Anolis sagrei: one gene and its partner. The protein of the gene in region 2 interacts with the protein of the main gene of each other region in a pairwise test. Links are inferred from orthologs where the notes say so. Each region holds a gene or a part of one and is shown on either strand. Other genes may lie near its edges.

Evidence for each region.
Region 1: the proteins of CCNC (region 2) and NMNAT1 interact in binary tests that used the Homo sapiens proteins (3 or more experiments, as listed by UniProt). The two-hybrid records come from large-scale screens. The link is inferred for Anolis sagrei from reciprocal best matches to the Homo sapiens genes CCNC and NMNAT1.

The regions. Positions count from the first base shown.
Region 1 is NC_090033.1:5,918,064-5,934,168, reverse strand, and holds the start of NMNAT1 (nicotinamide/nicotinic acid mononucleotide adenylyltransferase 1), read right to left. Parts: upstream 6,970-16,105; 5' UTR 6,901-6,969; intron 1-6,900. Other genes in the region: protein LZIC, read left to right, coding at 9,082-9,182, 10,225-10,360, 10,514-10,612, 11,753-11,848, 12,111-12,192, 15,755-15,813.
Region 2 is NC_090021.1:99,269,479-99,286,091, reverse strand, and holds the start of CCNC (cyclin-C), read right to left. Parts: upstream 6,258-16,613; 5' UTR 6,107-6,257; coding exon 6,075-6,106; intron 3,692-6,074; coding exon 3,585-3,691; intron 1,097-3,584; coding exon 1,012-1,096; intron 811-1,011; coding exon 741-810; intron 1-740. UniProt on the Homo sapiens protein: Component of the Mediator complex, a coactivator involved in regulated gene transcription of nearly all RNA polymerase II-dependent genes.

The DNA of each region.
Region 1 (16,105 bases), on a different chromosome or scaffold from region 2:
ATGATCATCAGTATAGATGAAACTCTCTGTCCCTTCTGGCAGTGACTGGTCATGTGTGTAAATGTTAAACATTGATGGTGCAAGCTGGTTTTTCCTGTAATAGACAGTAAGAGCACCTAAAGCTTCGGAGAGCTTCTGTTCAACCATTTCAAAGCTCCCTGCTTGGGCAGTGATGGCACGATCGTCAGCATAGATGAAACTCTGTGGCTTCTGGTAGTGGCTGGTCATTTGTGTCGACGTTAAACATTGATGGAGCAAGCACACTCCCCTGAGTCATGCCGTTCTTGGTTTTTGCCAACTGCTTCTCTGACCCTGTAACTCAACAAAAAGCTCCTGTTTTGTAGCAGATTTCCCATGAAGCGGGTGAGGTGGCAATCCTTTGTGATATTATACGTTTTTTCAGGAGGAAGTGATTATTTACAATATCATAAGCTGATGACAGCTCTATGATGACAGCTCCTGTAACCTGCCGTCTTTCAAAACCATCTTCTATCTGCCGAGTCAGGTTCAGCACTTGGGAGTTGCAGTTCTTCCCTTTCCTGAAACCAGAAAGCTCCCTCTTAGTCTTCATTTGTGAGTTAGCAGACAATGCTTGTCTAGTTTTGAAATGGTTGGAAAGCACATTTAGAAGCAAGAAAATGTCTTTTTCCCCCCTCCAACAGGCCAAAACCACTCCTGAGCTATTTTACTTCTCCGTGATTCTGTCCGTAAGCAACGTGATGACAGCTGGTACGTATCATGACGTCTCTTCATGTTTCTATTGGTGAGAGTATAGGTACAGGTAAAATATTTCACCTATTTGTCTGGCTACCAAAAACATCTGCTGCATTGCTGTGGTGGCGCAATGGGTCAAACTCTTGTGCCGGCTGAACTTCTGATCTGAAGATCTGAAGGTCGGCCGGTTCAAATCCGTGAGACTGGGTGAGTTCCCGTCTGTCAGCCCCAGCTTCCCATGTGAGGACAGGAGAGAAGCCTCCCACAAGATGGTAACACCTCTGGGCGTCCCCTGGCCAACGTCCTTGCAGATGGGCAATTCTTTCACACCACGACTGCTGACCAAAAGGTTGGCGGTTTGAATCTGAAGAGTGGAGTGAATTCCTGTCTATCAGCTCCAGCTTCCCATGCAGGGACATGAGAAGCCTCCCACAGGATGGTAACACATCCGGGCGTCCCCTGGCCAACGTCCTTTCAGATGGCCAATTCTCTCACACCAGAAGGACTGCTGACCAAAAGCTCAGCGGTTTGAATCCGGAGAGTGGAGTGAGCTCCTGTCTGTCAGCCCCAGCTTCTCATGCGGGGACATGAGAGAAGCCTCCCACAGGATGGTAACACATCCGGGCATCCCCTGGGCAACGTCCTTGCAGATGGCCAATGCTCTCACACCAGAAGGACTGCTGACCAAAAGGTTGGTGGCTTGAATCCAGGGAGTGGAGCGTGTTCCCGTCTGTCAGCCCCAGCTTCCCAAGTGGGGCAGTGAGAGAAGCCTCTCACAGGATGGTAACACCTCCGGGGCGTCCCCTGGGCAACATCCTTGCAGACAGCCAATTCTCTCACACCAGAAGCGGCATGCAGTATAACTCTCAATTTGCTTCTGATATGATTAAAAAATAATTCTGGAAATGTTCCCACACTTCAGGTGAGATCTCTGTGGACATGACTGGTGTTCTGTGACCCACAAAAAGGGGATCTAAATATGTGCCTTGTTCATTGCTTCCTTGCAGCCTTTTTCTCTCTCCTGGCGCCATTCTGGCTGGCCAACGTGGTCTCTCCGGGCCTGATCCTGAACAGGGAGACCAGGACAGGGAAATGTTACAAGCCGGTCTCCGAATGCAATTGCCTGTGGCATGTGTGACCCATAAAGCACCGGGCAGCGGCTTTACTACAGCGAGTTAAACCCCTAGCTGCAGAAAATATTGCCAATTAAAAGGATGGCAGTTCAAGCTCGGGTTGGGGTGAGCTCCTGCCGTAATCTTAGCTCCTGCTTACCTAGCAGTTCAAAAACAGCAACGTGAGTAGATAAATAGGTACCGCTTTGGTGGGGAAGTAATAAAAGGTGCCCATCCAGACATGCTGACAATTCGATCAGGGGAACGTCTATTGACAACAAAGCTGCTCAGCATGGAAGATGAAGCGACAGCACCCCCTGTGGCTGGAGTCAAGCACAGTCTCCAGATGCCAGAGATGGAAAAAGATGGGAAGACTTTGCCTTTGTTTATGTACTGTCTGTCTTTGTTAATTGTATAACGACATTGAATGTTTGCCGTATATGTGTACTGTAAGCCGCCCTGAGTCCCCTCAGGGAGATAGAGCGGAAAATAAATAAAGTATTGCTGGAGGTCAGCCTGTGTTTGTGTCTAATGATCAGGATACTCTGGATGTTGGGAGTGACAATGAGGTTCATGTGTCTAATAATGAGGTTGCTCTAGATGCAGAGAATGACAATGGGATTCCTTTTCAAAGTGAATTTTCTGATGGGAATGTTCCTGAAGGGTTTGGGAATGACGGTCTGTTCCCTGGGCCTGAATTGCTACCAAAGAATTCCCAAGGCTTTGAGCCCGAGAAAGGCTCGGCAACTGGGCCAGCTGCAGAATTTAATGAGCCAGTAGATAGGAGACATGCTTTCAGTCAGCAAAGGAAAACAAACCAGACTCTCAGGCGCGCTGCCAGATTGCAGGAGAGACTGATAATCGAGTCAAGGCTGAAAAGAAATACATTCATGGCCACTTGGGATATAGAGTAGATTAGAGGATAAAAGTGTCAAGTACAGAATCTGTAGTCAGACGAAGCAACATTGAAATTGAGTCCAGATATCATCTCGGGTTCCTAGAAGCCTTGTCTTGGATAGATGCTTGTATCAAATGCCTTGATCTTTCCATGCTGAAGTGCCTTGTTTGATTCATGCTCAAAGTTTGGGGTTTTGTTTTGGTAGTTCCAGTATTTGTTGTCATGAACTCTGAAGATTTGTTGTTCCTGTCTTTCTTTTCTACCTAATTGGATTTACCTATTTTTGTGGATTGCTTTTTATTGCTACTGCCTTTAATTATCTTCAATAAACTGCTTGCATTTTATTCAGCTGTGTTGTGTTTAAAGTCAGAGGGCTTTCTGGTATGTTATTATTATTATTATTATTATTATTATTAGTAGTAGTAGTAGTAATTTTCAATGATTCCTTAGGCACCATACCCAAAAACTATGGACACCCTGCTTAACCCACTTTGCTTCCATCCGTTCTTCACCCACAGAGAAAACTGACTGATCTCTGCAGAGGCCACGAGAGAAAGATATTCAGAACCAAGGACAGAACAGGCGTCTTTAACTATTTATACATCGCTCACATTAGGTGGTGTTCTGAGTTGAAAAAGGGAAGGTTTGGGGGAGTTTTTAAAGAGCTAAGTGGGGAAGCAGGAGGGGAGGATACGGTTCCCAGGCTTCAAACCGGCTTTCAAGTGTGCTGGATCTCATTGTCCACATTGTGAAACATCCCACACGCTTTCCTTTTTTTGTTCCTGCTGCTGTATAGAACAATTAGCAGTCACAAGCCCTGCGCATGGAGCTTGAAGTGTGGCAGCAGAAGCCACAGGAAGACAGTTGCCATGGGAACTGGCATGGAACCGTAAGATGCTTCAGAATCGGGAGCAGGTCGGAAGCTGGGATTTTGGGACAGCACCTTTTCCTGATTGCAAACATTTGGAAAGACAGGCAGATGCTTAGATCGAGAACCTCAGGCCTTTTGGAGAGTCCCTTCATGCTAACGCCCCGTTTTTCTTTGTTCTCCCACCCCACACGTGTAAAAGGCTCGCAGCAAGGCTTTAGGCTACAATGGGTGTTTTTCCCTTCCTTTCCCCCCATTTGAGTCTGTAATGCAGCTCCCAAAAGAGATGAAATTGAATCTGGCCCCTGAACAGGAAGGAATTTCAAAACCTTTGATTCTGGATTACAACCATTCCCCCCAGTGAGCCACATCTCCATGAGCAAGACCAAATACCTCACAGGGTTGTGGTGGTGCAATGGGCTAAACCCTTGTGCTGCTGAACTGCTGACCTGAAGGCTGGCAGTTCGAATACGCATGATTCGAGCTCCCATTGTTAGCTCCTGCCAACCTTGCAGTTCGTCAACATGCAAATGTGAGTAGATAAATAGGCAGGAAAGGCATAAGACACTCCAAGCTGTCATGCCGGTGACACAACCAGGAGGAAATGGAGAACAGCTTCTCCCCCAAAGCCAGAGATAAGCACCGCCTCCAAAGCCGGAAATGAAAGGAGAAGCCTTTGCCTGTGTTTGTGTGTATTGTAACATTTTTGCCGGTATCTGTTTACACTGACCAGCAACCTTATCACCAGTGACCATCATCTTGTGTAATTAAGTAGCAGGAGGTGACAATGCAGGCTCCTTGGCTTGGAAACTGAGAACGGCACCTCCCCCAGAGACAGAGATGACCACCGCCTGCAAAGCGGGAAATGAAAAGAGAAGCCTTTGCCTTTGTTTGTATTTGTGTGTCTCATTGTATTGTAACATGTTTTGCTCGTATCTGTTTACACCGTTTACACTGACCAGTGACCTCATCGCACTAGAGAATGAATCCACTTTAAATCCGGTTTCTGCCTCCTGCAGAATTCTGGGGTTTGTACTTTACTGAGGCTGTTAAAGCCTCCTCTCAAAACTACAAACGCCATAATTCTGCAGGAGGCAGCAATCAGATTTAAAGTGGATTCATTCTCTTGTGTGATAAAGTAGCAGGAGGTGACAACGCAGGCTCCTTGGCTTGGAAACTGAGAACAGCACCTTCCCCAGAGTCAGAGATGAGCACCGCCTGTAAAGCCGGAATGGAAAGGAGAAGTCTTTGCCTTTGTTTGTGTGTCTCATTGTATTGTAACATGTTTTCCGGTATCTGTTTACACTGATGAACCAATCTGAACACAGCATATTATTTGAGAACACAGAAATGTTGGACCACTCTCACAACTATCATGTCAGCCGACACAGAGAAGTCCATTGCAATCCACAAGCAGGTGGACAAATTCAAGAGAAAGTAGGAAACCATGGAAATGAACAAAATCTGGCTCCCGGTATTAAAAAAGAATTCTGAAATCTGGACAGTAAATAAAGAACAACAGTCAAAAACTGGGGAACTCCAAACAAGAAACAATCAGGGACAGCGAATCACTTCAAAACAAAGGATTCCTCCAGGCAGTTAGAAGTCACACCTTGAAAACTGCTAGGCCATTAAAAACTCTAAAATCAGGACGGTAAATAAAGAGGAACACTCAAAAATAGGGGGATTCCAGATAGGAAATAATCAGGTCCAGCTAACACCTCCCAACAAAGGATTCCTCTAGGCAGGGAGCAGCCATGCTTTGAAGCTACAAGGCCATTAAATGCTAAACAAGGTGTCCAACTGCAACATTCACACTTAACTCAAGCAGACAAGGGTTCTTTCTCCCACCATGGACATCATTCCACAGATAAATAGACAGTCCACTTGCCTCATTTCCTAGCTTTGCAGCTTCTAAGCTTGGCTGCTTCCTGCCTGGGGGAATCCTTTGTTTGCAGTCCTTGGTTTTGCAGCGAGGCTTTGAAGCATCAAGGCTATTCAATGCTAATCAAAGCCAAGGACTGCAAACAAAGATTCCCCCAGGCAGGAAGCAGCCAAGCTTTGAAGCTGCAAGGCTATTCAATGCTCATCAAAGCCAAGGACTGCAAACAAAGGATTCCCCCAGGCAGGAAGCAGCCAAGCTTTGAAGCTGCAAGGCTATTCAATGCTCATCAAAGCCAAGGACTGCAAACAAAGGATTCCCCCAGGCAGGAAGCAGCCAAGCTTTGAAGCTGCAAGGCTATTTAATGCTAATCAAAGCCAAGGACTGCAAACAAAGGATTCCCCCAGGCAGGAAGCAGCCAAGCTTTGAAGCTGCAAGGCTATTCAATGCTAATCAAAGCCAAGGACTGCAAACAAAATATTCCCCCAGGCAAGAAGAAGCCAAGCTTTGCAGCCTCAAGGCTATTCAATGCTCATCAAAGCCAAGGACTGCAAACAAAGGATTCCCCCAGGCAGGAAGCAGCCAAGCTTTGAAGCTGCAAGGCTATTCAATGCTAATCAATGCCAAGGACTGCAAACAAAGGATTCCCCCAGGCAGGAAGCAGCCAAGCTTTGAAGCTGCAAGGCTATTCAATGCTAATCAATGCCAAGGGCTGCAAACAAAAGATTCCCCCAGGCAGGAAGCAGCCAAGCCTTGAAGCTGCAAGGCTATTTAATGCTAACCAAAGCCAAGGACTGCAAACAAAGGATTCCCCCAGGCAGGAAGCAGCCAAGCTTTGAAGCTGCAAGGCTATTCACACTTGCCTCAAGCAGACCAGAGTTCTTTCTCCCACCCTGGACATCATTTCACAGATATACAGAGAAAGTCCACTTGCCTCATTTTCTAGCTTTGCAGCTTCAAAGCCTGGCTGCTTCCTGCATGGAAGAATCCTTGGCTTTGCTGCCAGGCTTTGCAGCCTGAAGGCTATTCAATGCGAATTGAAGGCAAGGACTGCAAACATAGGATTCCTCTGGGCAGGAAGCAGCCAGGCTTTGAAGCTGCAAGGCTACTGAATGCTAATCAAGTTGGCCAAGGGCTTCAAGCAGACCAGAGTTCTTTCTCCCACCTTGGACACATATAAACCCAATTTTACTAGTTTCTAAGAGACCTCACAACCTCTGAAGATGCTTACCATAGATGGTAAGATGTGGGAGAAACGTCAGGAGAGAATGCTTCAGGAACATGGCCAGGCAGCCAAACTTATAGCAACCCAATAATATTGATAAATAATAAGATCTGTTCAATAATGATAATATTACTAAATCATTAGATGTGTTCATTACCCAAAACAGCTCCTTTTCCCCAGCCAAGAAAGTCTTTTCCTTACCTGAAAGATTCAAAATCGAAAGCACTTCAGGCCCGGAACTGAACACCGCGGCTCAAGCGGCTGGGGGGAAGACTATCGCCACAGTACCACAAGCGCGGCGCCTGATTGGCTGGAGAACCCGGAAGCGGGCCTGTGTCCGTCGCCGAAGGGCTTCCCCCACGACCTGGGAACCGGAAGTGAGAGGGACTCGCCCCTCCGTGACAGCAGACCCTGTCTCTTGGAGGGAGGATGTGATTGGAAGAGGTGGAGGCTCAGGAAGAGGAAGAAGAGGAGGAGGAGGAAGAAGAAGGGTTGGAGGTAAGGGTGGGTGCTTCTCCTTCCCTGGATATGATGGCCCTCCAAGTGGAGTGTCTTCGGGGTGGGTCCCTAGGTGGCTGTGGAGCCCTATTCTTCACCCACATGTGCTTCCACAGTTTCCATTGTTGGCTTGACGCACCTTCCTCTCCCTATCGCCCTCCATTCGTGCCTCTTCGAATTCCGCAGCACTGCTGGTCACAGCTGACCTCCAGTTAGAGCGCTCAAGGGCCAGGGCTTCCCACTTCTCCGTGTCTAATATATTTATTTATTTATTACATATATTTGTACCCCGCCCTTCTCTACCCTTGAAGGAGGACTCGGCGCGCCTTACAACCCACAGCAATTTGATGCCCCCCATATGTTGTTGTTGATTTATTTATTTACGACATTTATATGCGGCTTACAAGTAAATGTCATAAATATCACTAATAATAATAATAATAATAATAAGTCACTTTTGGGGTTTGTTTATTTATTTATCGTGTCATCAGCAAGCAGAACATTGTATTACATTTCAGAACAAAACAAACAAACAGATTAAAAAAACCCCACAAATTTTGCAAACTTAGTAGTGGATTAAATGTCCTTTGACCAGTATCTGGCCACTTGGAGTGCCTCTGGTGTTGCCACAAGAAGGTCCTCCATTGTGCATGTGGCAGGGCTCAGGTTGCATTGCAGCAGGTGGTCAGTGGTTTGCTCTTCTCCACACTCGCATGTCACGGATTCCACTTTTAAGATTGGCTCTGCATCTCGTGGTGCCAGAGCACAGTCTGTTCAGCGCCTTCCAAGTCGCCCAGTCTTCTGTGTGCCCAGGGGGGAGTCTCTCATTTGGTATCAGTCATTGAATGAGGTTCTGGGTTTGGGCCTGCCACTTTTGGACTCTCGCTTGCGGAGGTGTTCCAGCGAGTGTCTCTGTAGATCTTAGAAAACTATTTCTTGATTTAAGTCATTGACGTGCTGGCTGATAGCCAAACAAGGGATGAGCTGGAGATGTCTCTGCCTTGGTCCTTTCACTATTGGCTGCTACTTCCCGGCAGATGTCAGGTGGTGCAATACCGGCTAGACAGTGTAATTTCTCCAGTGGTAGGGCACAGAGACCCCGTGATAATGTCTCATTAAGAGCCACATCCACTGTTTTAGTGTGGTGAGATGTGTTCCACACTGGGCATGCATACTCAGCAGCAGAGTAGCATAGCACAAGGGCAGATGTCTTCACTATGTCTGGTTGTGATCCCCAGGTTGTGCCAGTCAGCTTTCATATGATATTGTTTCTAGTGCCCACTTTTTGCTTGATGTTCAGGCAGTGCTTCTTGTAGGTCAGAGCACGGTCCAGAGTGACTCCCAGATATTTGGGTGTGCTGCAATGCTCCAGTGGGATTCCTTCCCAGGTAATCCTCAGAGCTCGGGATGCTTCTCTGTTCTTAAGGTGAAAGGCACATGTCTGTGTTTTAGATGGATTAGGGATCAGTTGGTTTTCCCTGTAATAGGCAGGTGAGAATTTGTAATTTGGGGTAAGAAGGGCAGAATATAAATGTCGCAAGTAAATAAATAAATAAATAAATAAATAAATAATGATAGGCAACCCTGGGCTAACCTGTTTCTACCAAAGTGTCAATGTTGTCTTTTGTGGAGAGGTGGCTGCCAAGGGAGCATAAATGGTCAACGTTATCTAATTTCTTCTTGAATAAGTTATTTTGCAGTAACCATCCCAAGTATATTGTTGTTCTCTAGACTGTCGAAGAGGCTGGGCATATTCATATAAGGAAGAGAATAAATATTGACCTTTATACCCAAACGATGTATAAGTTATAAGTTGAGCTGGTTACTAATTAGCACAGTATGTTTTGTTTCTCTCGCAGAGGTTGGTAATGCGAAGAGTTGAAAATGGCTTCAAGAGGGACAATTGAAACCAGCAAGTTGAAACAGAACTTGGAAGAGCAGCTGGACCGATTGATGCAGCAACTGCAAGATCTGGAGGAGTGCCGGTAATAAACAGCTTCTGGGAAATGACTATGCTCGAAAAGGTTTGGTAATACCATGTGAACAGGGAGAAATCTTTTTGTACATCTGGCCCCAAAGCCTCATTTGTTTGGGGTGTGGTTGGAAACATAACATAACCAGTTTCTTTTGAGTAATGGGAAAGTAAAGAGTTATTTGGTTGCCATGAGTTTTCCGGGCTGTCTGGCCATTTTCCAGAAGCATTCTCTCCTGACATTTTGCCTGCATCTATGGCAGGCATCCTCAGAGGTTGTGAGGTCCGTTGGAAACTAGGAAAATGGGGTTTATCTATTTGTGGAACAATAAAGAGCTATTGTTGAAATGTGTAATGATTATAGTCATCAGACTAGCCTTTTAAAGTGGGCACCCTGCTTTCTTCGTGTTTTCTGCCTCCTGCAGAACTCTGGGAAATGTAGTTTGGGAGGGCGAGGACATCTCTAGCAGGCTCTTCCCCAAACTACATTTCCCAGAGTTCTGCAGGCAGAAGGCACCAAGTAAGTGGGTGTGCCCGCTTTAAAATGCTAGCGTGATGAGGCTGTAAGAATAGTCTGGAGGCTTTCTGTAAGAATAGTCTGTAAGAATAGTCAAAGGCTTTCATGGCTGGAATCACTGGATTGCTGTGAGTTTTCCGGGCTGTATGGCCATGTTTCAGAAACCAGCTAACACCTCCCAACAAAGGATTCCCGCAGGCAGGAAGCAGCCAGGCCTTGAAGCAAGGCTTTGCAATGCTAATTAAGGGGATTAATTGCAACATTCACACTTGCCTCCAACAGACAAGAGTTCTTTCTCCCACCCTGGACTTTCCACAGATATATAGACTTTCCTTGTCTAGTTTCCGTCAGACCTCACAACCTCTAAGGATGCCTGCCATAGATGTGGGTGAAATGTCAGGAGAGAATGCTTCTGGAACATGGCCAGACAGCCCAGTAAACTCACAGCAACCCCATAGTCTGGAGCTTTAGAACAATAAGTTTGATTTATCAGTATTTAAAGATCTCTCAGCAATCTTAACTCTTGGTTCTCAATCAGAGAGGAACTAGACACAGATGAATATGAAGAAACCAAGAAGGAAACCCTCGAACAGCTGAGTGAGTTCAATGATTCCTTGAAGAAGATTATGTCCGGAAACATGACCCTGGTGGATGAACTTAGTGGGATGCAGTTGGTGAGTACTTTCTTTGTGAACCAGTCCAGTGCACATTTGCTAATCCTTTTCGTCCAGGGTAGACATGTCTTATTGGCTTTGGTATTAGAGATATTGCTTGAGGCCAACTAAGCAGACAAGCCCACAGTTTGTGTTATATTATGTCTCTTGCAGGCCATACAAGCGGCCATCAGCCAGGCTTTCAAAACCCCAGAAGTCATCCGCATGTTTGCCAAAAAACAGCCTGGGCAGTTGAGAACTAGATTGGGCGAGGTAAGGATCTAACCCTTGCACCTAAAAAAATGAATGTACACTTATTGCTTGTTGAGATTTGCAAAGATGTAAGGCATGTTACAGTGTTGCCTCTCATCACGAGAAGCAGAATAGGGCACTATTAAAAAGCACATCTTGTTACTAATAATAATACTTTATTTATATTCTGCCCTTCTCCCCATGGGGACACAGAGCAGATTAGAGTGTAAACAGATGCTGGCAAACATTAAATGCCTCATTGCAATACAGTGAGACACACAAACATAAACAAAGGCAAAGGCTTCTCTTTTCATTTCCGGCTTAAAAAGCACATCTTGTTAATAACACTAATAATAATACTTTATTTATATTCCGCCCTTCTCCCCATGGGGACACAGAGTAGATTACAGTGTAAACAGATGCTGGCAAACATCCAGTGCCTCGTTGCAATACAATGAGACATAAACAAAGGCAAAGGCTTCTCCTTTCATTTCCGGCTTAAAAAGCACATCTTGTTAATAACACTAATAATAATAATTCTTTATTTATGTTTTGCCCATGTTCCCATGGGGACACAGAGCAGATTAAAGTGTAAACAGATGCTGGCAAACATTCAATGCCTCGTTGCAATACAATGAGACACACAAATATAAACAAAAGCAAAGGCTTCTCCTTTCATTTCCAGCTAAAAAGCACATCTTGTTAATAACACTTATAATAATACTTTATCTATATTCCGCCCATCTTCCAATGGGGATAGAGAGCAGATTACAGTATAAACAGATGCTGGCAAACATTCAATGCCTTGTTACAATACAATAAGACATGCAAACATAAACAAAGGCAAAGGCTTCTCCTTTCATTTCCGGCTTTGGAGGTGGTGCTCATCTCTGGCTCTGGGGAGGTGCTGTTCTCCATTTCCAAGCTGAGAAGCCTGCGCTATCACCTCCTGGACTTATTTGGAGCGTCTTATGCCTTTCCTACATATTTGGTGCAATGCAAGGAGTAATCCTAAGCTCAGTAGCCACAGAGAAGGCTCTCTCTTGCATTGCACCAAATATGTCTTTGATAGCAGTGGCATAGACAAAGGTTGCAATAAAATAATCATTCGTCAAATATGTAAATGTTCTCTCTTCCCTCCCCTCCCCCTTTCTTGTATAGATGGACAGAGATTTGATTGTTGGAAAGCTAGGGCGGGACCTTTACACCCTGCAGAAAGTGGAAATCCTCACCGCACTCCGCAAGCTTGGGGAGAAGGTACGCATTTTGGAATTCTGTCTTTCATGGGACTAAAAACTGAATGGCATGTGCAGGTTGCCATCCACTTTTGTGAGGGTCAGGTGTGCAAAAGTGGGAAAATTCTACATATCTCAAGGCCCCACACTTGTGACGGTGGGCTAATTGGGTTTCATGTGGAATCTATGGAAAACATTTGAAGCCTATCTATCCATGAATTATGTTTTTCTCGTTCATCTTTAACCACTTACAATACAGCCAACTCATTTTCCTTTCCTTTCAGCTGACGCCCGATGATGAGACCTTCCTTTCAACAAATGCTGGAGCTGCTCTAAGCCAGTTTGAGAAGGTCTCCAATGACCTTGGTAAGTCTTCCTTTTTTCTGTTTTCCCTCCCTGCTTCACACAACTTGCTTGCAGCCAGGTGGGAGAAAAATGGCTGAAATCATCTTAGATCTGTGGTTCCCAACCCGTGGGCCGCAGCCCACTAGACCTAAAATAAGATCTGCAAGACATGCCAGGAAAATTGTCACTGGCTTGTGATTGAGGAGAGAGAGAGAGAGAAGGAGAGGGAGAGAAGGAAGGAAAGAAGGAAGGAGATGCCAGTGTGTTGCCCTCGCCAGGGCTTTCCCGGCCTTCGGAAGCTTCCCAGGCCAGGGCAGAGAAGATTCACCAGGCGGAATGAGCGAAGAAGCGAGGGAGAGAAGGAGAGTCCCCCAAAGTTGTTGTTGTTGTTATTATTGTTGTTGTTATGGAGCGCCATACAGGGAGCACACCACCTCCCTGTTATGTCAACTCCACTGGCTGCCAATCCAATTCCGAGCTGGTCTTGGCCTACAAAGCCCTATACGGCTCCAACCCAGCTTACTTCTCCGAACGTATCTCCCTCTACGTTCCACCTCGTAGTTCAAGATCCACTGGGGAGGCCCTGCTCTCGGTCCCACCAGCCTCGCAAACGCATCTGGTAGGGTTGCGGGACGGCCTTCTCGGTGGTAACCCCCCGCTCTCCAGTGAGATTAGATGAGCATCCTCCCTCTTTTCCTTTAGGAAAAAACTGAAATGGTGGTCTTGGAACCAGGCTTTTGGCTAGCAGGCATAACGGCACTTTGGACACTGAACTGGACCATATGATTGTTAGAATAATGGAAACGGCTGTATGATTGTGTAACTAATGTTATTGTTTTTAATCTGTTATGTATTTATGGTTTTATATTGATGTTATTTATTTATTTATTTATTTATTTAACGATATTTATATACCGCTTTTCTCAGCCCTCGGGCGACTCAAAGCAGTTAACAATAGTAAAATTCACTGCTCAAAAAATCATAAAACAGTTAAAAACAAGTAAAACAGTGGCATAATAAGCAATCAATATAAATCAATAAAACATCTCATTAGCATCTCATAGTTAAAATCAAGATCCAATCTCAACATCCAATTGTTCCATATTCCTATGTTCATTACACTGCCTTTTCAAATGCCTGCTCGAACAACCAGGTCTTCACTTTCCTCTGAAATGCTGACAGGGAGGGGGGCGATCTGATGTCTGTAGGAAGGGCATTACACAGCCGAGGAGCCACCACTGAGAAGGCCCTGTCTCTCGTCCCCGCCAAACGCACTTGTGATGCAGGCAGGATCGAGAGCAGGGCCTCCCCAGACAATCTTAACATCTGGGGATCTTAATAATAATAATCATCATCATCATCATCTTTATTTAATACCCCACCACCATCTCCCCAATGGGGACTCAGGGAGGCTTACATGAGGCCAAGTCCAACAGCATATTACAATAAAGTAAAATCAAACCACAATAACAACACAGTAAAATACATACAACGTATGAGTACGAAAACGATAAAGCAAAACCATACACAGTAAAATAAAATAACATTACAATGAGCGGGCCACATGTGCAAGATATTGTTCTTTGCGGCATTGAATTGCTGCCAGTGTTAGCCGCTCTGAGTCCCCCCTCGGGGGTTGAGAAGGGCGGATTAGAAATGTTATAAATAATAATAATAATTAATATTAGTAGTATTAGTAGTATTAGTAGTGGTAGTATTACCTGCCATTGCCACAAATCAGTTGTAATGAGAAAGCAGCCATTTCTAAGACCATGTTTAGTCCCTCAAAGTTGCTTTGTTGTTAATGTTGGAGAGTGGTCCCTGTTGGGAACCTCTGCCGTATAGACTACTGCAACCCGCTCTGTGTGGGATTGCCTGTGAAAACGGTTCAGCAATTGGTCCAATGGGCGGCAGCCAGATTATTCACTGGAGCGGGGTACAGGGAGCATACAACTCCCTTGTTTCGCCTGCTTCACTGGCTGCTAGTCTGCTACTGAGCACAAGTCAAAGTGCTGCCTTTAGCCTATAGAGCCCGAAACGGTTCTGGCCCACTTACCTGTCTGAATGAACCATCCTGGAGATTAAGAACACCTGGGGAGGCCCTGCTCTCAGTCCCGGCTCCTTCACAAGCTCGACTATTTATTTATGTATTTATTTATAACATTTATATTCTGCCCTTCCCACCCCGAAGGGGACTCAGGGTGGAGCACAGCATATACACGGCAAACATTCAATGCCGGGACACAGATTCACATACACATACATAAACATAAAAAACATTTATCTCAATATTAAAATACACCATTTAAAACCGTCCTAGTCATTCGCATCAAAGCTAATTGGCCTGGTAATCTTTCCTATTGCTGCCTTATTGCCCTGTCCCGAAAGCTTGGTCCCACAGGCAAGTTTTGACCATCTTTCTAAAGGACAGGAGGGAGGGGGCCGACCTGATCTCACCAGGAAGGGAGTTCCATAGCCGGGGAGCAAACACCAAGAAGGCCCTGTCCCTAGTCCCCACCAATCGTGCTTGTGACAATAGCGGGACGGAAAGCAGGGCCTCTCCAGAGGATCTTAATCTCCACAGTGGTTCATAGGGAGAGATGCGTTCAGACAGGTAATTTGGGCTGGGGCCGTTTAGGGCTTTATACGCCAAAGCCAGCACTTTGAATTATGCCCGGTAGCAGACTGGCAGCCAGTGGAGCTGGCGTAACATGGGACTTGTGTGCTCCCTGTATGCTGCCCCAGTTATTAATCTGGCTGCCTCTCGTTGGACTATTTGAAGCTTCCGACCAGTCTTCAAAGGCAACCCCACGTAGAGTGTGTTGCAGTAGTCTATCCTAGATGTAATGAGAGCGTGGACCACCTTGGCCAAGTCTGACTTCCCAAGGTACGGACGCAGCTGGCACACAAGTTTTAACTGTGTGAATGCTCGCCTGGCCATCACTGCAACCTGGGATTCCAGGCTCAGTGATGAATCCAGGAGAACTCCCAAGCTGTAAACCTGTGCCTTCAAGAGAAGTGTGACCCCGTCCAGCACAGGTTGCCACCCTATACCCTGTTCGGCCTTGCGACTGACCAGGGGGACCTCTGTCTTGTCTGGATTCAACTTCAATTTGCTCGCCCTCATCCAGACTGTGGGGACTAGTGGGGACGAGAGACAGGGCCTTCTCAACGGTGGCCCCTTGGCTATGGAACTTCCTCCTTCCCCAGCGAAATTTGATCAGCCCCCTCCCTCCTGAACTTCCGAAAAAAAGTAAAAATTTCTGGGCCTTTGGGCAGTAAGCAGCACAAGGAATGATGTGCAATAGAGATGATATTTGGAATGATGGTTGGTTTGTGTGATTTTAATGTTAATATTGATATGTTTTTAATTCCCTGTTTTCATGTTAAATGGTGTTCTGCTTTATGATTGAATTGATAATTGTCTGTTATTATTGTTACGTCTCTGTAGGCGAGGCATTAAATTTTGCCATAATTATGTTGGAAACTGCTTTGAGTCCACCACTGGGGGGAGAAAAGAGGTATACAAGTGAAGTAAGGAAATAAATACATGGATCCCTTCTTTTTCTTTCTCCTCCCGCAGGGTCAGGGGACAAGGTCTTCGCCCTGGCAAGTTTCGAGGTAGAAAAATCCAAGCAATGATTTTTTTCCCCATTTTGTGGGTGACTTCTGCCTGTCTATGTTGGCCTCTCATTTTTTTTTAAAAAAAAGTTGTATTTGTTGTATTCTTACGGGCTTTTTTTTTTTTTTTTTTGTAACGCTCTTTCTCTTAACAGCAAGGTAACCGAAAGCAAAAAAATAAATAAAAATTAAGTACACTTCAGGAACTCAGCAAAGTAAAGGTCTGAAGCTTGAAACACTAAGTGGTATTCTTCAACAAAGGAAAACAAACCTAATTGTGACTGTCATTTTTGTAAAACATGGGCAAATGCGT
Region 2 (16,613 bases):
TTAACAACCCATCTGAAAAGGAGGCTATTTTCGTTACATGCAGCAGAACCTGTCAACTGCAATGCAACTGACAGGATGGCCCTTGTCATGCCACGCTTCTATGTCCATAAGGCAAAAACATAAACTAAACCTGCAGGACAAGTACCAGAAGGTCTGAGTGCTCAAGGAACAGAGGTTACCAACTGGTCTGCTGACAGCTAGCCCTTACTATCCACAAATTCAAAATACTTAGTCTCCAAAAGAAACCTTGATTTTGCAATTTTATACAATGAACATCATCTCATTATATTGTATATAATGAGATTTGAACATCTATAGATTTTGGTATCAATTGGGGGGGGGGGTCGCAATTGATACCAAGTACCCATTGCATATGATTAAACAGCCATAGTTATGAAGCTAAGAGGAGAGATAGTACAGAAAAATATTAAGAAAAGAAATGTAGAAAAATAAAAAGTGGTGGAAAAACTAATGAAAGTACACCTACTGGAATAGTGATATAAACTTTGTTTAAATACAATGTCTAACAGAACTGAAGATAGACAAGACAGCAAATGGCCAATATGAGAGACTAACATTACAACATTATAATGAACCCTTGTTAATTTTTAGTACTGTATTTTTTTCTCTTTTTCACAAATGGAAAAAGATACCAAATGCAGTATTTAAAAGAGGGGGGAGTTAAAATACCTCTCCATTTAACCAAATTTGCACATAAAAATCAGAAATACTCCACTTACCTCTACTTTAGATGCCAAAAACACACATGTGGGAGCCATCAGAACAGGATCTATACTTTTTAGGGAGTATCTGGGGGCAAAAAAGAAATATAGCTCTAAATAGAGAGGAAGAGCTACTCTTAACTATTCCATTTTTTCAGAAGAGCTGAATCCTATCAATCTATAGGATTTACGTATATAATTAGAATAAAATCAATTTTTAACTTTTAAATGATATAACAATGTGCAAGAAAAGAAAGCACTGTTCTGCTAACAGAGTGCATGATCCTACCTGGCATAGAACCTCTTGAAATAGACAGTAGCAGTGGCAATAACTTGTTGTCTTAATTTCAGATGTTCACCTAAAGCCTGGATGACTTACAAACAAAAAGAAAACTGAGTTAAAGTTTCAAAATGGGAGCTTGCATTTTGTCAGAATCACTGATAGTATATCCCACAAGGCTAAGAAACTATTATTTTTCCAACATTTCTGAGGTCTTACAAGCTGACTGACAAAAATGTATTTTTCACTTGAACTTCCTTATATATTTACAGATCCCTTTGTTAATGCACATGCTCATTTGCCTTCATGGATTATCTGCCCATTGATTCAATGGCTCTTTAAAAGCAACCATAGGGCTGATTTGGCCCTTCATTTTAAGAAAGAGATGACTGGAAGACACATAATAACAAATAACAAAAATAGAAACCACAATGGTCCAATTTAAACATATCGTTTCAGGATTTTTTCAAAAAGTACAAAGCGTAGTTTTAGATCCTGATTAGTATACTAACATTAAACCACAGTTGTCTGTTTCAGACATAACTGGGAACAGCTTGCTGTGATTGGTACACAATGGAAAGAGGAACCTCTGGTTGCCAAGCATGTTCTTGGCTATGGCTTTCCTGTGCTTAAAAATGCACAATCAAACTAGGCCAATGATTTCCCCATGGCTACCCGGTGGACTGAAGGTGAACCCTGGTCCAAGTGCCATATACTATTCACGAAGTCAAACTAGTTCATATTCTGGCAGATGGCACTTATTTCCAGCTTTTAAATGTAGTTCTATCAAATTAGTCACATCAAATTAGTCACATCTCCATGAAGGACAGAAGAGGCATATGGTACATGCGTAGGTAGCATCTCAACATGGTGAAGGCAACAGTTTGCTCTATCATGTACAACTTACTACATTTCTCAACTCACTTGCCCTACAATTCTAATAGGAGAATATTACCAGGTTATTGTGTGCATTTTGAATCATCATTATGGGCTGAAGTGTTTGAATGCCTTGCAAATGGCTGTTGTCTGTCTAATGAATCAAGATCCCAGGATCAACATAGTTGCTGGGTTTCAGAGGCAGCAGGTGTTTGGAGCATGGCATATTTAGTCTAGGGAAAGGGAGTGGGGTGTTGAGAGACCAGAAGAGGTAGTCAGCTGCTCCATCACTAGCTCTGCCTGCCAGTTGGCCAAGAAGCAACCCTGGTGTCAGCTGCACAGGTAGCTCTTGTTTGGCCTTCCAGGCAAAGGAGATCTGCCAAGAATGTCAGGAGCATCCATCAGGGATACCAAGCAGAGGTGGAAGGCGAAAATGATGGAATGAAACATAAGGTGATTTACTTGGTATTCTTCCTGGATCTCCTCATCCATACATAATCCAAACATGGCAATGCTGTTATCATTATCATGCCATTTTCAAAGAGCCCTGCAAGTTCTATTTCAGTCCACACATTTATGCACACATTTTAAAAGGAACACAGCCAAACAAAACGTACATGCAGAAGGGCTGTCTAAAGAAACAACCATTACAACAGATCACCCTGATGTCATGTTGCATTACTATCACTATATCCTGAATCCTACTTTGTGTAATTATTTGCTCAGCAGATCATGGATTAAGCTATCAGCTGAACATTCTCCATTAAGGATAAGTTTCTATCCAAGCTTATACCGAACCAGGCATGTAGCCGGGGTTCAGCTGCCCCCCCCCCCCCCCGGAAATTCTCATGGTGGTTCGCAAAAATTGAGGTCCTAGCCCTCAAAAATGTGCTTCTATTTGAAGGCTATCACATTTGACCACTACTCCTGAGTATATGGCTATACTTTCGCATCAAATTTCTGATAACAGCCACAGTGAAATATCCAGACACACAATCAAAGCCATTTTCTGGCCTAGATGCTTCAGTTTATCATCAGTGCTCTCTACGCAGAGTAGAGTTCATGAAGGAGCCAAGTTTAGTTTCAAGAAAAAAAAAAGTGTATTTTGAATTTTACACAAGTTTCCACATCCGCACTGGGACCCGAAAACAACAAACTATTAAAGTGTGATTAGTCTATTTCAACTTTCCTGAAGGCCCAGTGTTTTCAGGATCCACATTACATATAGACCAAATAGTGTGTCATTGCCTTTATAAAGTCTTGGAAGTCAATATGTAACATGGCCCCAAGATGCTACAGTACTATTTTAAAGCAGAAAGACATTTTCTAATGAAGTATTTCTAATTACACTGTTACATATCCATGAAACAGTGTGGAGTGTAATTTCTGCTCCCTCTACCTTTCATAATATTCTCTTGCAATCTACTTTTAAAAACTGGGGGACCTCCAGTACAAATGGAGGGGCTAAAGGGGGTGATGATAGTTTCATCACCTAAGTAGGAAAATAAAATAATCTATGTTGAACAGTGCTAGATTTAAGCTGAATGCTTAAGCTTCTGCTGCAAGCATGTCCAAGTTTCTTTTCGCTAGGTACATAACAGATAAATCTTCTTGCTTTATAATTTTGCATGTTTTGTGAAGTTAGCACAAAGCAATACAACTGCAACACACATCAGTGGGGCAAACTAGAACTGAAATCATGTTACCATTCGTAAAGAATATCTGTAGCTTCCAATATTCTTCTTCTGTCAAAAATTTTAAGTCCTTTTGGCGTTCCTTCAACAGATCTTGTTTATCCAAAATCCATTGCAAGCTGCAAAGGAAGAAAAAATAGAGAGTACATCTTTTAAACCAATTTTGAGTATTGCATGTATTAAACATGCTTGTCAACTTTCATTCTACAGCCTGATGCCAAAATAACAAACTTCTCTGCATATTCAATTAATCATATTGAAAACTACTGTTAATTTGTGTTGTCGAAGGCTTTCATGGCCAGAATTGCTAGGCCATTTCCAAGCTGTGTGGCCAAGTTTTCCAGGCTGTATGGGCATTCTCTCCTGACATTTTCTGAGGATGCCTGCCATATATGTGGGTTAAATGTCTGGAGAGAATGCTTATGGAACATGGCCATTCAGCCTGGAAAACTCACAGCAACCTACTGTAATTTGTTTCCTTTTGGGTTTGTTTTCTGAACTATTAGCTATAAGAAAAAGTAACTAACTGGGGGGAAAGCTGGCCTGTGATAAACTATGATTTTTCTGCTTTGGTAGCTATTTCAAAGGCAAATTTGAAATTGGATCCAGACTATTTAAAGGTCCATTATTTTTAACTGTCCTGTCACCATCATAGATACTATCAGTGAAAACATGAGAAAGAGTCTGCTGCTCTTGGGCTCCTTCCCACAGATCTGCTTGGCCTCGTTCTCTAGCTTCTTTGTACCTACAGGCACAGCCCTTTTATTTAGTCCCGCGTTCCATATTTAAAGAAAAGCTTTCCAAACATTTCATGTATGTTACATTCATTTTAGGCATGTATCATTTTGCCTCACAGTAATTCAGTTTCACTAGCAAACTGGAGGTTAAACCAACTCCTTATAAAAAAATATATAGATTTATACAAATTGTAATAACAAAATGTTTGGAAGCACAACATATCTCATGAAAACTTTGGATTTATATATATTTAAAAAAACGCTTTATTGCTTATTTCATGTAGACTTTTGTGTGGCGCGCCTACACACTACTTGTTACTTTTGTGTGGCGCGCCTACACACTGCAGCCACACACTAACACAATAGTTCTCAACCTGTGGGTCCCCGGGTGTTTTGGCCCACAACTCCCAGAAATCCCAGCCAGTTTGCCAACTGTTAGGATTTCTGGGAATTGAAGGCCCAAACATCTGGAGACCCACAGGTTGAACACCACCGATAGAGGACTTGGGGCGGATTCCAGCATACAGAAAAACAAAGACAAACATTCAATTCCTTGAAAGGGAATTGCATCAAATATATCATATAATATTATCCCGCTGAGCAATGTTTGGATTTTAGTGCTGTAATGTAAATATGGATATTTTGTGTAGCTTTTCCCTGAACATTGTTTTATATATGTGAAAAATATGTATGCCAATATAATATTATTTTTAAAAATTGGTAAGGATAAGGGATACTAAAACCTGCACTATACCTTCCGCCCCAAAAGGCAGCACCTCACAGCTAACATAAAACTCAATTTTAAACTATGGATTTAATTTGATATTAATATTGCTGTTCTACAAAAGGGTCTATCTAGATTATTGATTTTAATGCTGCTTGTCTCTACTCCATCTGACATGGCTCAATGCCATGGAATCCTGGGAGCTGTAATCTTACAAGGTCTTTAGCCTTCTCTGTCCTTTGGGGGTTTTTTTGTGTATATCAGGAGCGACTTGAGAAACTGCAAGTCACTTCTGGTGTGAGAGAATTGGCCGTCTGCAAGGACATTGCCCAGGGATGCCCGGATTTGTTACCATCCTACGGAAGGCTTTTCTAATGTTCCCTCATAAGAAGCTGGAGCGGACAGACAGGAGCTCAACCCGCTCCCTGGATTCTGCTGGCACAATGGTTTAACCCACTACGCCATTGAGGGGAGAGGAGGGCGTTTTTTGTCCTTTGGTGAGGCACCAGCACTTTCCTGTAGGAGACCTTGCAAAACTATAATTCCCTGAATATCCTGAATATGTGGCAGTTAAGAATGGGATCAAACTGCATTAATTCTACAGCACAGATGATGTCCATGTTGTGCCAATTCTAGAGAGAAATAAAAATATCATAATCATCTCTATTCTCTATAGCATGCATAGGCCAACTTGGGCCCTCCCTCCAAGTGTTTTGGACTTCAACTCCCACCATTCCTAACAGCTTAAGCGGCTGAGGGGGAAAAGGAAGGGGCCTGAGGCTGTTAGGAATGGTGGGAGTTGAAGTCCAAAACACTTGGAGGGAGGGCCCAAGTTGGCCCATGCCTGCTCTATAGCAATTAAACACTCTCCTTGCCAAGTTTGCCAACACCCCTCAGTCCTCCTGTGGCCCGGGATTCCAGGAGCCCCCTTCAAAACAGCAGGGCCAGGAAGTGTGTGGCGTGGCATCCTGAAAAGCCTTCCCCTCCCCGCTCCCCCACAGCCAGGGCCCCCCACCAGAGAGGGGCGAGGGGTTCACTCACTAATGCGAGCTCTGCCAGAAGTTCCCTGCCATGAAGAGGGCGCGGGGCTCGCTGCCGGGTCTCTTCCCTGCCGACCCACCCCGGGCTCTCTCTTCCAGGAACAGGAAGGACTCGGCAGCGCCCACCCGGCCACCAAGCTCATCAGGGCCGCGGCAGCAGCAGACTCGGCCCCGGGGCTGCGCGCGCCTACTCTGTGTCCCGGCCTGCTTCCGCTGCCGCGCGCATCCGTTCCGGGGAAAAAAGGTTCCGCCCCTCTCAATAGGGACAAGCCGTATTCCCGCTTCTCCTGGACTTATTAGTTGAGAGCAAAGGCATTCGACACAGTGAATCGCACCGCCCTCTGGACCATCCTCCAAAAAATCGGGTGCCCTAATAAATTTGTGAACATCCTGAGCTCCTCCATGATGACAACAGACTTGGACAGCAGTGGGTCCCAAAGTGACCCATTTAAGGTAAAATCAGGCGTCAACATTTTTATTATTGCCCCAACTGTATTCTCCATCTTCATCACTATGATACTTCACCTTGTTGATGGGAAGCTTCCCACCAGAATGGAAATCATCTATCGGACAGATGGCAAGCTGTTTAACCTCAGCAGACTGAAAGCCAAAACCAAAGTTACAACATCTGTTATAGAACAACAATATGCTGATGACAATGTCGTCTGTGCACATTCAGAAGAAGATCTACAAGCCACTCTAAACACCTTCGCAGAAGCATACGAGAAGCTCAGCCTGTCATTGAACATTGAGAAAACCAAAATGCTGTTCCAGCAGTCACCACCCAACCCCTCTCCAATGCCAGAGATACAGCTTAATGGTGTAACATTAGAAAATATTGACCATTTCCACTACTTTGGCAGCCACCTCTCCACTAAAGTCAGCATCAACACCGAAATACAACACCGCCTGAGCTCTGCGAGTGCAGCATGTTTCTGAATGAAGCAGAGAGTGTTTGAGGACTGGAACATCCGTAGGGATACCAAGGTGCTTGTTTATAAAGCTATTGTCCTCCCAACCCTGCTCTATGCCTGTGAAATGTGGACTGTCTACAGATGTCACATGCAACTCCTGGAACGATTCCATCAGCGCTGCCTCCGGAAAATCCTGCAAATCTCTTGAGAAGAGAAACAGACAAACGTCAGTGTGCTGGAAGAAGCAAAGACCACCAGCATTGAAGCAATGGTCCTCCGCCATCAACTCCGCTGGACCGGCCACATTGTCCGGATGCCTGACCACCGTCTCCCAAAGCAGTTACTCTACTCCAAACTCAAGAACAGAAAACGGAATGTTGGTGGACAGGAAAAGAGATTTAACGATGGGCTCAAAGCCAACCTTAGAAACTCTGGCATAGACACTGAGAACTGGGAAGCCCTGGCCCTTGAGTGCTCCAGCTGGAGGTCAGCTGTGACCAGCAGTGCTGCAGAATTTGAAGAGGCATGAATGGAGGGTGAAAGAGAGAAGCGTGCCAAGAGGAAGGCGCATCAAGCCAACCCCGACAGAGATCGCCTTCCACCTGGAAACCACTGCCCTCAATGCGGAAGAAGATGCAGATCAAGAATAGGGCTCCACAGCCACCTACGGATCCACAAGAATACTGACCCTGGAAGACTATCCTACTCATCCAACGAGGGATTGCCTAAGTGCAGATTAGTTGAGGGTGAACCCACACTGTAAAATGAATGCCTTTTATTGCCACGGCTTAATGCTAGGGAGTCCTGGCAGTTGTAGTTTTATAAGGTCTCTCGCCTACTCTGCCAAACAGGGCTGGTGCCTCACTAAACTACAGCTCCCAGGATCCCATAGTATCTTTATTTATCGTGTCTGAAGCAAATTGAAAATAAAGTTATAATGTTAAAGTTATAATGTATTTAAAATGTATTTATGTATCTATATAAATAAAAATGTTATGTTCGTTTGTGGGATTAACATAACTCAAAAACTACTGGACAAATTGACACCAGATTTGGACACAATACACCTATCAGGCCAATTAGTGACCTTGGAATGATCTCCTTTGAATGATCTCCTTGGATCTCTGCACAGCTTCATCCAAAGGCATGTTGAGTTTCTGATTCTTCACTCATAAAACCACTGAAAAACACAGCAGAAGAGACTTAAAAAGCCAAAAAACAAAAACCATTACAACGCATGCGCAAAACCACACATATACACAAATACATATACACATATATACACACACAAAACACATATACACAGACGGCCACAGCAACGCTTGGCAGGGGACGGCTAGTTTATAATGTTTTTAAAAGCTTCAAACAAAGTTAATACCTTGGCTCTATGATACTGAAGGGGACAAGGGACCTGATTTCATTTTATTAATAAATAATAGCAATAATAATAAAATAATAACTTTACTTTTGTATCCCGCCACCATCTCGGGGCGGCTTACATGGGGACCAAACCCAGACAAGCAGAAATTTAAAATATAACACAGTAAAATTCAACTACAAAACATCATAAAAACATAACCATCCACAATCAAAACATCCAATAACCTAACCTAGAGGCCATATATTGAGCTGAGGGGCGAGGCAGGAGCTTGTGCAAAACAGTTGCAAGGGCAGGGCTGATAGGAAAGTGCAGGTATGAAGTATGAAGAATAGTTCGATTAAATAAATAGTCTTAGCCTTAGAAATCAATTGAAGATTGTCTTAGTGTTAGAAAAATTTAGCCATGTGAAACACACACAAAGGGAAAAGGCTCACATAAACAGAACATTGAAAACATGCACCAAATGGAACCCTAAGGAGAGAAGCAGGGCAATAAACAGGCCTACATTTCGTTTGACCAGAAGCTTTCCACTTGGAGTGCCTCTGGTGTCACTATAAGAAGCCCCTCCATTGTGCATGTGGCAGGACTCAGACTGCATTGTAGTAAGTGGTCCCTTACTACACACTTGCCCTTCTCCACATTTGCATATCGTGGACTCCAATTTGTAGCCCCATTTCTTAAGGTTAGCTCTGTACCTCTTGGTGCCAGAGTGCAGTCTGTTCAGTGCTTTCCAAGTCACCCAGTCTTCTGTGTGCCCAGGAAGGGAGTTTCTCATTCGGTATCAGCCACTGATTGATGTTTCGGGTTTTAGCCTGCCACTTTTGGACTCTAGCTTGCTGAAGTGTTCCTGCGAGTATCTCTGTAGATCTTAAGAAGCTATTTCTTGATTTAAGGCATTTGCTTGCTGACTGATATCCGAACAAAGGATGGGCTGGATATGTCGACGCCTTGGTCCTTTCTTTACTGGCTGCTACTTACCAATGGATAACAGGTGGTGCAATACCGGCTAAACAGTATAATTTCTGCAGTGGTGTGGGGCATAGACATCCTGAAATATTCTACATTGGGCATGCACACTCAGCAGCAGAATAGCAAAGTGCAAGGGCAGATGTCTTCACTGTATCTGGTTGTGATCCCCAGATTGTGGCAGTCAGCTTTTGTATGATATTATTTCTAGCACCCACTTTTTGCTTGATATTCAAGCAGTCCTTCTTATAGGTCTGAGCACGGTCCAAGGTAACTCCCAGGTATTTGGGTGTGCTGCAAGGCTCCAGTGGGATTCCTTCCCAGGTAATCCTCAGAATTTGAGATGCTAGTCTGTTCTTAAGGTGAAAAACACATGTCTGCATTTTAGATGGATTAGGGATCAGTTGTTTTTCCCTGCAATAGGCAGTAAGAGCCCATAAAGCTTCCGAGAGCTGCTGTTCAACCATTTCAAAGCTCCCATAGCATTAAGGCATGGCAAACTGTGGTGCCAAACTGAATTAATTCAACAGTGTAGATATACCCTGAGAGAAAGAAGCTGATGCAATCATTACTGTTGTTATTATTATTGTTACCTATTATCTCCACATAGTGGGGGACAGCAGCATATCAAAATACAACATGAACTATCAGTTTAAAATACATAATGTAAGTTTTTGCAGGCCCCTTCTACACTGATCATTTCATACAGTTTCAAACTGTTTTTTAAAAGTTATTTTACTGATGATTACGTAGAAAATCCTGGAACCAATTTGAGGCATGGATGATGATTATACAGAAATCACAGAGTACTGATGCACACATTAAGGGCTTTCTTCCACATACTTTTGTGGGAGTTTGTTGTCTCGCTGCCACAGTTTGAAGAGGCTAACTTTGAGCTGCATTAAATGGTTAGTGCAAATGGAGCCATAGACTACAAGGGTGCATCCCTTTAACTGCTAGGGCTCAATGCTATGCAATCATGGGAGTTGTAGTTTTGTAAGTCATCATCCCTCTTTGCCAGAGAAAGTTAAATATCTTGTAAAACAATAGCTCCCATGATTCCATAGCATTGAGCCATGGCAGTTAAAGGGGTGTCAAACCACATATTTTGCATTCCTATGGCTATTCACACAATCTGCTTACACACTTCCTTTGCATTGTCCCTTGACCTTCACTGCATGCATTTGGGGAAGCAGAATGAAAGTATATGCCACCAACATTTTTCTCAGTCTGTCTAAAAGTGTCTAGCATTGCTCTGTAAAGGAATTAACAAAATCAATCATGTATAAGCCTTCAGTAGTTACAAAATAAATCAGAATGTGTCTAATGAGGATATCTGATGCAATGACACAAAACACACTAATTCAGGTAATGTTCTTGTAAGACATTTATCTTCTGTTACAGATGTATTGAATTTCCTCATGGCACGTCTGTAGCACCTAGGGAAATTGTGAATGCATCAGGCTCATTGTTGCTCTGAAGTGCCAGTGCTGCGAGAAGAGACGACACAATTCCTCAGGGGTTTGTTTCATGTTTTTCATGATCTTGCATCATCACCATCACCAGAAGCTACATAACCATATACAGTAGTGGTTCTCAACTTATGGGTCCCCAAATGTTTTGGTCTACAGTGATTCAGTTCAACATGGGGCTCTTTCACATGACATATTACAGTGCTATGATTCCACTATAACTGCCATGCCAGTATCCTAAGCAATCCCAGAATATGTTGTTTAATAAGAAACTAGAGTTATCTGGGTAGGAATTTTAATTACACTTCCAAAACAACAAATTCCAGGATTCCATTAAATGGACCATGGCAGTTAAAGTGGATTCATAGTGCTTTAACTCTGCACCTGACTAGATTTCGACATTTCTTTTCAAATTCACTATTAGTTTCTTGTCAAGAATGTGTAGAAGCCAGAAGAAGAAGAAATCCTGTTGTTCCATTTTTACTGTTGCAGATGCCTGAGAGGCCTGTCACAGTACATTAAGGCATTCTGTCAGGAGGGTGGGATATGCATAATGGGAATATGTATACATCTGTCCCAATTCATACAGCCTAATGCTGGAGCAAATGTGCCTGCCAAGGACTGGGTTGTACAGCAACCAATCGTTGCTTCTTTTTTAATTGTAGAAATGTCTTGGAAATGAAAGGTAAGATTTTAAATCCTTGTCAATAGTGAGATTTGCAAGGATGATATCCATTCGGGCTATCATGAACATTGTATTCTATTGTATGTATTTAGCACATTTGTATGTTAATCTGTTTTAGAAACATGAAAATCAAATAAAAAAGGTGTTGTTTTTCCTCAATTCAACTGTCACCCGATATGGCGACATCAATAATCCAAACTTTTTTCTTTTCCACAATCATGATGTCTGGTGTATTGTGTTTCAAAACTTTGTCAGTCTGGATTCAAAAGTCTCACAGTATTTTTGCATATTTATTTTCCACTTCCTTTGCAGGTTTATGATCCCACCAATTCTTTACTGCTGGGAGGTGGTACCTGTGACATTATTATTATTATTATTATTATTATTATGTTGTTGTTGTTGTTGTTGTTAATATAATTATACTGTATTATGTTGCAGAATTATATTTTGTTGTTGTTATGAATATATAATACACATCACCATCATTAGCAGTGTGGCTCCTGCGGGTCTGGATCGAGAGAGAAAAGCAGGGTGCAAAGGAATAAAATGATGATAATAATAACAATAATTCTTCAGTGTAGATCAGTGTTTCTCAACCTGGGGGTCGGGACCCCTCGGGGGGTCATGAGAAGGTAGCAGGGGGGTCACCAAAGACCATCAGAAAACAGTATTCTCCGTTGGTCATGGAGGTTTTTGTGTGGGAAATGAGGTGCAATTCTATCGTTGGTGGGGTTCAGAATGCTCTTTAAATGTAGGTGAACTATAACTCCCAGCAACTACAACTCCCAAATGTCAAGGTCTATTTCCCCCAAACTCCACCAGTATTCACATTTGGGCATATTGAGTATCTGTGCCAAGTTTGGTCCAGATCCATAATTGAATGAGTTCACAGTGCTCTCTGGATGTAGGTGAACTACAACTTCCAAACTCTAGATCAATGCCCACCAAACCCTTCCAGTATTTTCTGTTGGTCATGGGAGTTCTGTGTGCCAAGTTTGGTTCAATTCCATCGTTGGTGGAGATTCAGAATGCTCTTAGATTGTAGGTGAACTATAAATCCCAGTAACTACAACTCCCAAATGACAAAATCACCCCCCCCCCCCCAACCCCACCGTATTCAGATTTGAGCTTATCGGATATTTGTGCTCAATTTGGTCCAGTGAATGAAAATACATCCTGCTTATCAGATATTTACATTACGATTCTTAACAGTAGCAAAACTACAGTTATGAAATAGCAATGAAAATAATGGTATGGTTGGAGGTCACCACAACATGAGGAACTGTATTAAGGGGTCGTGGCATTAGGAAGGTTGAGAAACACTGGTGTAGATGGAATGATACAGCCCAGTCCTCTCTCTGCTCTCTTCTCTCATCCCAAGGCTGCTGTTCCTCAAAGCAGCCGGCAGGAGGCGCAGCGTGGAGGAGAGCCAGCTTCCAGCCCCGTTCGCGGAGGAGGAGGAAGGGGAAGACTGACGGCGGGTGCTCGCTCAGCCCACCTCCTTCGCGGCCCGCGGCGCCGGACGAGCGAGCAACTCCGCACTAGCAGCCGCAAATTCGCAAGGGCTTAGTGGGAAAGCAGGCGGGCAGCAGGACCGACTCAGCCACCCGGCGGCTTCGCGACACCGACCAGTCAAGACGAGACGGGGCGGGGCTTAGGCAGGCGAAAGGGGCGGCTCTCCAGGCGAAAGAGGCTCGGCCCGCCCCCCTCCCTTCGCTTTCAAGCCTCCTCGTTTAAAGGGGCAGGGACCGCATTTCTCCTCCTCGCCTATGAAAGGAAAAAGCAAGCGTGTAGGAATGCAATCACAGGCTGGATCTACGCTTCTGTATATCCCAGCATCAGTTTGTCTAGCAGTGTAGACTCCTAATCCAATTCAAAGCAGATAATCTGGGATCAGATCCTGGGATATAGGGCAGTGTAGATCCACCCACAGTAGGCTTCCCAAACTGTATTTCCGCCAGAATAATTGAGTATAACGGAGGCCCCTTCTACACTGCCATATCATCCAGATTATCAAATCCGATAATCCGCATTATCTGCTCTGAACTGGATTATAGGTGTCTACACTGCCATGAAATCCAGTTCAAAGAAGATAATCTGGATTGTATATGGCAGTATGGAAGGGGAAATATAAAAGGCCAGTAGACTGACAGTCATTGTGATGTACAACATGTGAACTATATAATGGGAGAAAAGTGGGATAGAAATAAAATTAATCCAGATAATCCGAATTATATATGGCAGTGTAGAAAGGGAAATATACAACTGGTCAGAGGCTTCCAAAATAATTATGCCAAAATAAAATAATAAAATAAATAGTATTAACATTTTGAAATAGCAGAATAAACACTACTAATATTTTCTTGGGCAACACTTCCCTTTCTATAACCTCAGCCATTCTCTTTCCTCTAACCATTAATTCTTATAAAATCCACCATAAAAGCAATACATTATTCCTCAAATATAAACAGAGGAGAGAGAAAGAATAGACACTGATTGCTCTTGCTTCGTCTTTTATACAACTTGAGGATTTCTTATCTGGAATTTTAAGATCAGAAATGTTTCAGATTTCAGGATATAATGCATATAATGAGAGATGAGTCCTAAATCTTAACACAAAATTCATTAATGTGTCACATATACTTTGCACACATATACTTTACACACATAACCTGACGGTAATATTTTTACAATCTTTTAAAATAATGTGCTTGAAACAAAGTTTGTGTACCTCAAGTTTGAAATAGCAACCTTCTACAAGCCTTCTATACTAGTTATTTGTTATGTATATCATTCAGATTGCTTACTGTATATTGTATGTGTGTACTGTATTGTTATGCAGTTTTCCTTAACTCTATGTTGTGGGAGGGACTGCAGACCATGTGACCAGATCTGGGACTATTCAGACTGAGACTCCATTTTCAGAAGTCAGTATTGCATTGTATAGTCAGCGTTCATTATGCATTAGACATAAGACAGAGAAGAGACTGCAACAGAATGCTTTGGAGAACTTACTGTTTACACTTTCAACTGATAAGCAATGTACCTGTAAGCTGAATATATGAAGTTTGTAAGTAAACAAACTATGTTATTTTTAATGAAAACTATTTATTTTTCTCTCTTGAGAGCATGATTTAAATCAAATATATTTTATGGGAGAGTAGATGTTTTTGGGCAACTGAAATAACACTTCTGAAAATCTGCTATATATTTTGTGCATTGGCATAATCTTTGTTCCTAACAGTTTATTTATTTATTTATTTATTTATTTATTTACTGTGTTTATAATTATTTATTTATTGCCTTTCTCACCCCTGGGTAATATTCTCAAGGCAGTTTACAACATACTAATGGCAAAAATTCGATGCCAACATACAGTACACAAAGAAATCATAATAACTAATTACTACATATAACTATGAACTTAAAATCATTAAAACCATTAAACATAAGACATACATCAAATTTAAACATTCAGACAAAGCATAAAAACATTCTAGTATAAACATTAAAATCCCATGATCTAGTTCAAAGAAATATCTAGGTATATCAGTCTAACAGCCGAGAAACCTAATTGCCTTGCATGAATAGTAGTGGATATTTACGATGGAGTTTTTAGCTCTTCTCATGAAGATTATACTTTACAAAAAGGTAATGATTATTCCAAATGGTGCAAATGACAATTAATCTCCAAAAGGGTCAAGCTTCCAAAAGCATTTGGAGATTCCTGGTTTTCCAAAAGGTTATGATCTCAAGAAGTCATAATTTCCAAAATATACACATAACTTGATGGTAATAAGTTTACAATATTTTAATAATTTTGTGCTTCAAACAAAGTTTGTGTACCTCGAACCATTATCTCAGCCATCCATGTGTTGAATTTGGAGCATTTCAGAATTCTGGATCAGGAATGTTCAGCCTGTTTTGTCATTGAAAGAGGTGACAAGTGATATTAGCCTACTATAGGGAATTGTGAGAAGATGCTTCATTATTATAATAGGGAATGTGAAAGACACATATCCTGCGATTTACTTTTGCATCAAGATGCCATTGCATTACACTGCAGGGGAATCAACCATTACCATCTAACGATGCATCCTTTAAAAGCTGCTGGTTCTGAATTGTACATTTTAAATCGGTTGGCTCTTCACAGAAAACATGAACTCTTTGAAAGCATTTTTATTTTATTATTCTCTCCAAGTTGCACCAGATACTTTTCTTCTTTCAATTGCTATATTGTATCAAGAAGATAAACCAAAACCAGTCTCACATCCACAAAAGTTGAATCTGGCTGTGTTCTTGTTTTATAATTCTAGCAGTTAAATTCTACATTGGATGTATTTTTTCCACTTACTGTTTAATATCAAATAATACAATCCAATTTAAGGGGGTGCATTTAAAGTACATGGTTGTGTGTATACTGTATGCCTGATTTGTATATGATTTGTTTACAGGACCGAACATCAGTAATAATGGCAAAAGGATAAAAAGTGCTCCACTCCATGAACCCTTTTCCAGTTCATGAAGCTGTTGTAAGGGAACTAATGCAAATATCTCCTGACAGCCGGCCATCTAGAAACCATATTGTCTCTATACCTTTCCTTCATTCCTTATACTCTTTCTCTGCATCTATACATCTCCTTGGAATGATCTCCTTGGATCTCTGCACAGCTTCGTCCAAGGGCATGTTGTGTTTCTGATTCTCCTGACAAAACTTGACAGTTTTTATTTATAAGAAGGAGGGGATTATTTCACCCTCCTTTCCAAAGGATAGAGACACGCACGTCTCCAAAGTGCTACAGCTGTTATGATCAATCCATTGGCTGAAAGCGTAACTCTTTCGACATGGATTTTATTCAGGAAGCTACATGCAAATCATATGTCAGGCCTGCACTTCCTTAAGGCTGTTTCACATGTATATGTAAAAAGTCAGAGTAGCAGTCAAACAAAATGTAGACCTCTCTCTGTGCCTTGGCATTGGATGGCCTTGAGGGGAAAGTGTGAGTTATTGCCACTGAAAACAGCATGTCTTGAGAGTTTTCTCCATTGTACTAGAAAATTCAAAGGTACTCAGATTGAAAAGAAGATGGAGAATTGGGATGTTGGAAATTGCAACTAATAT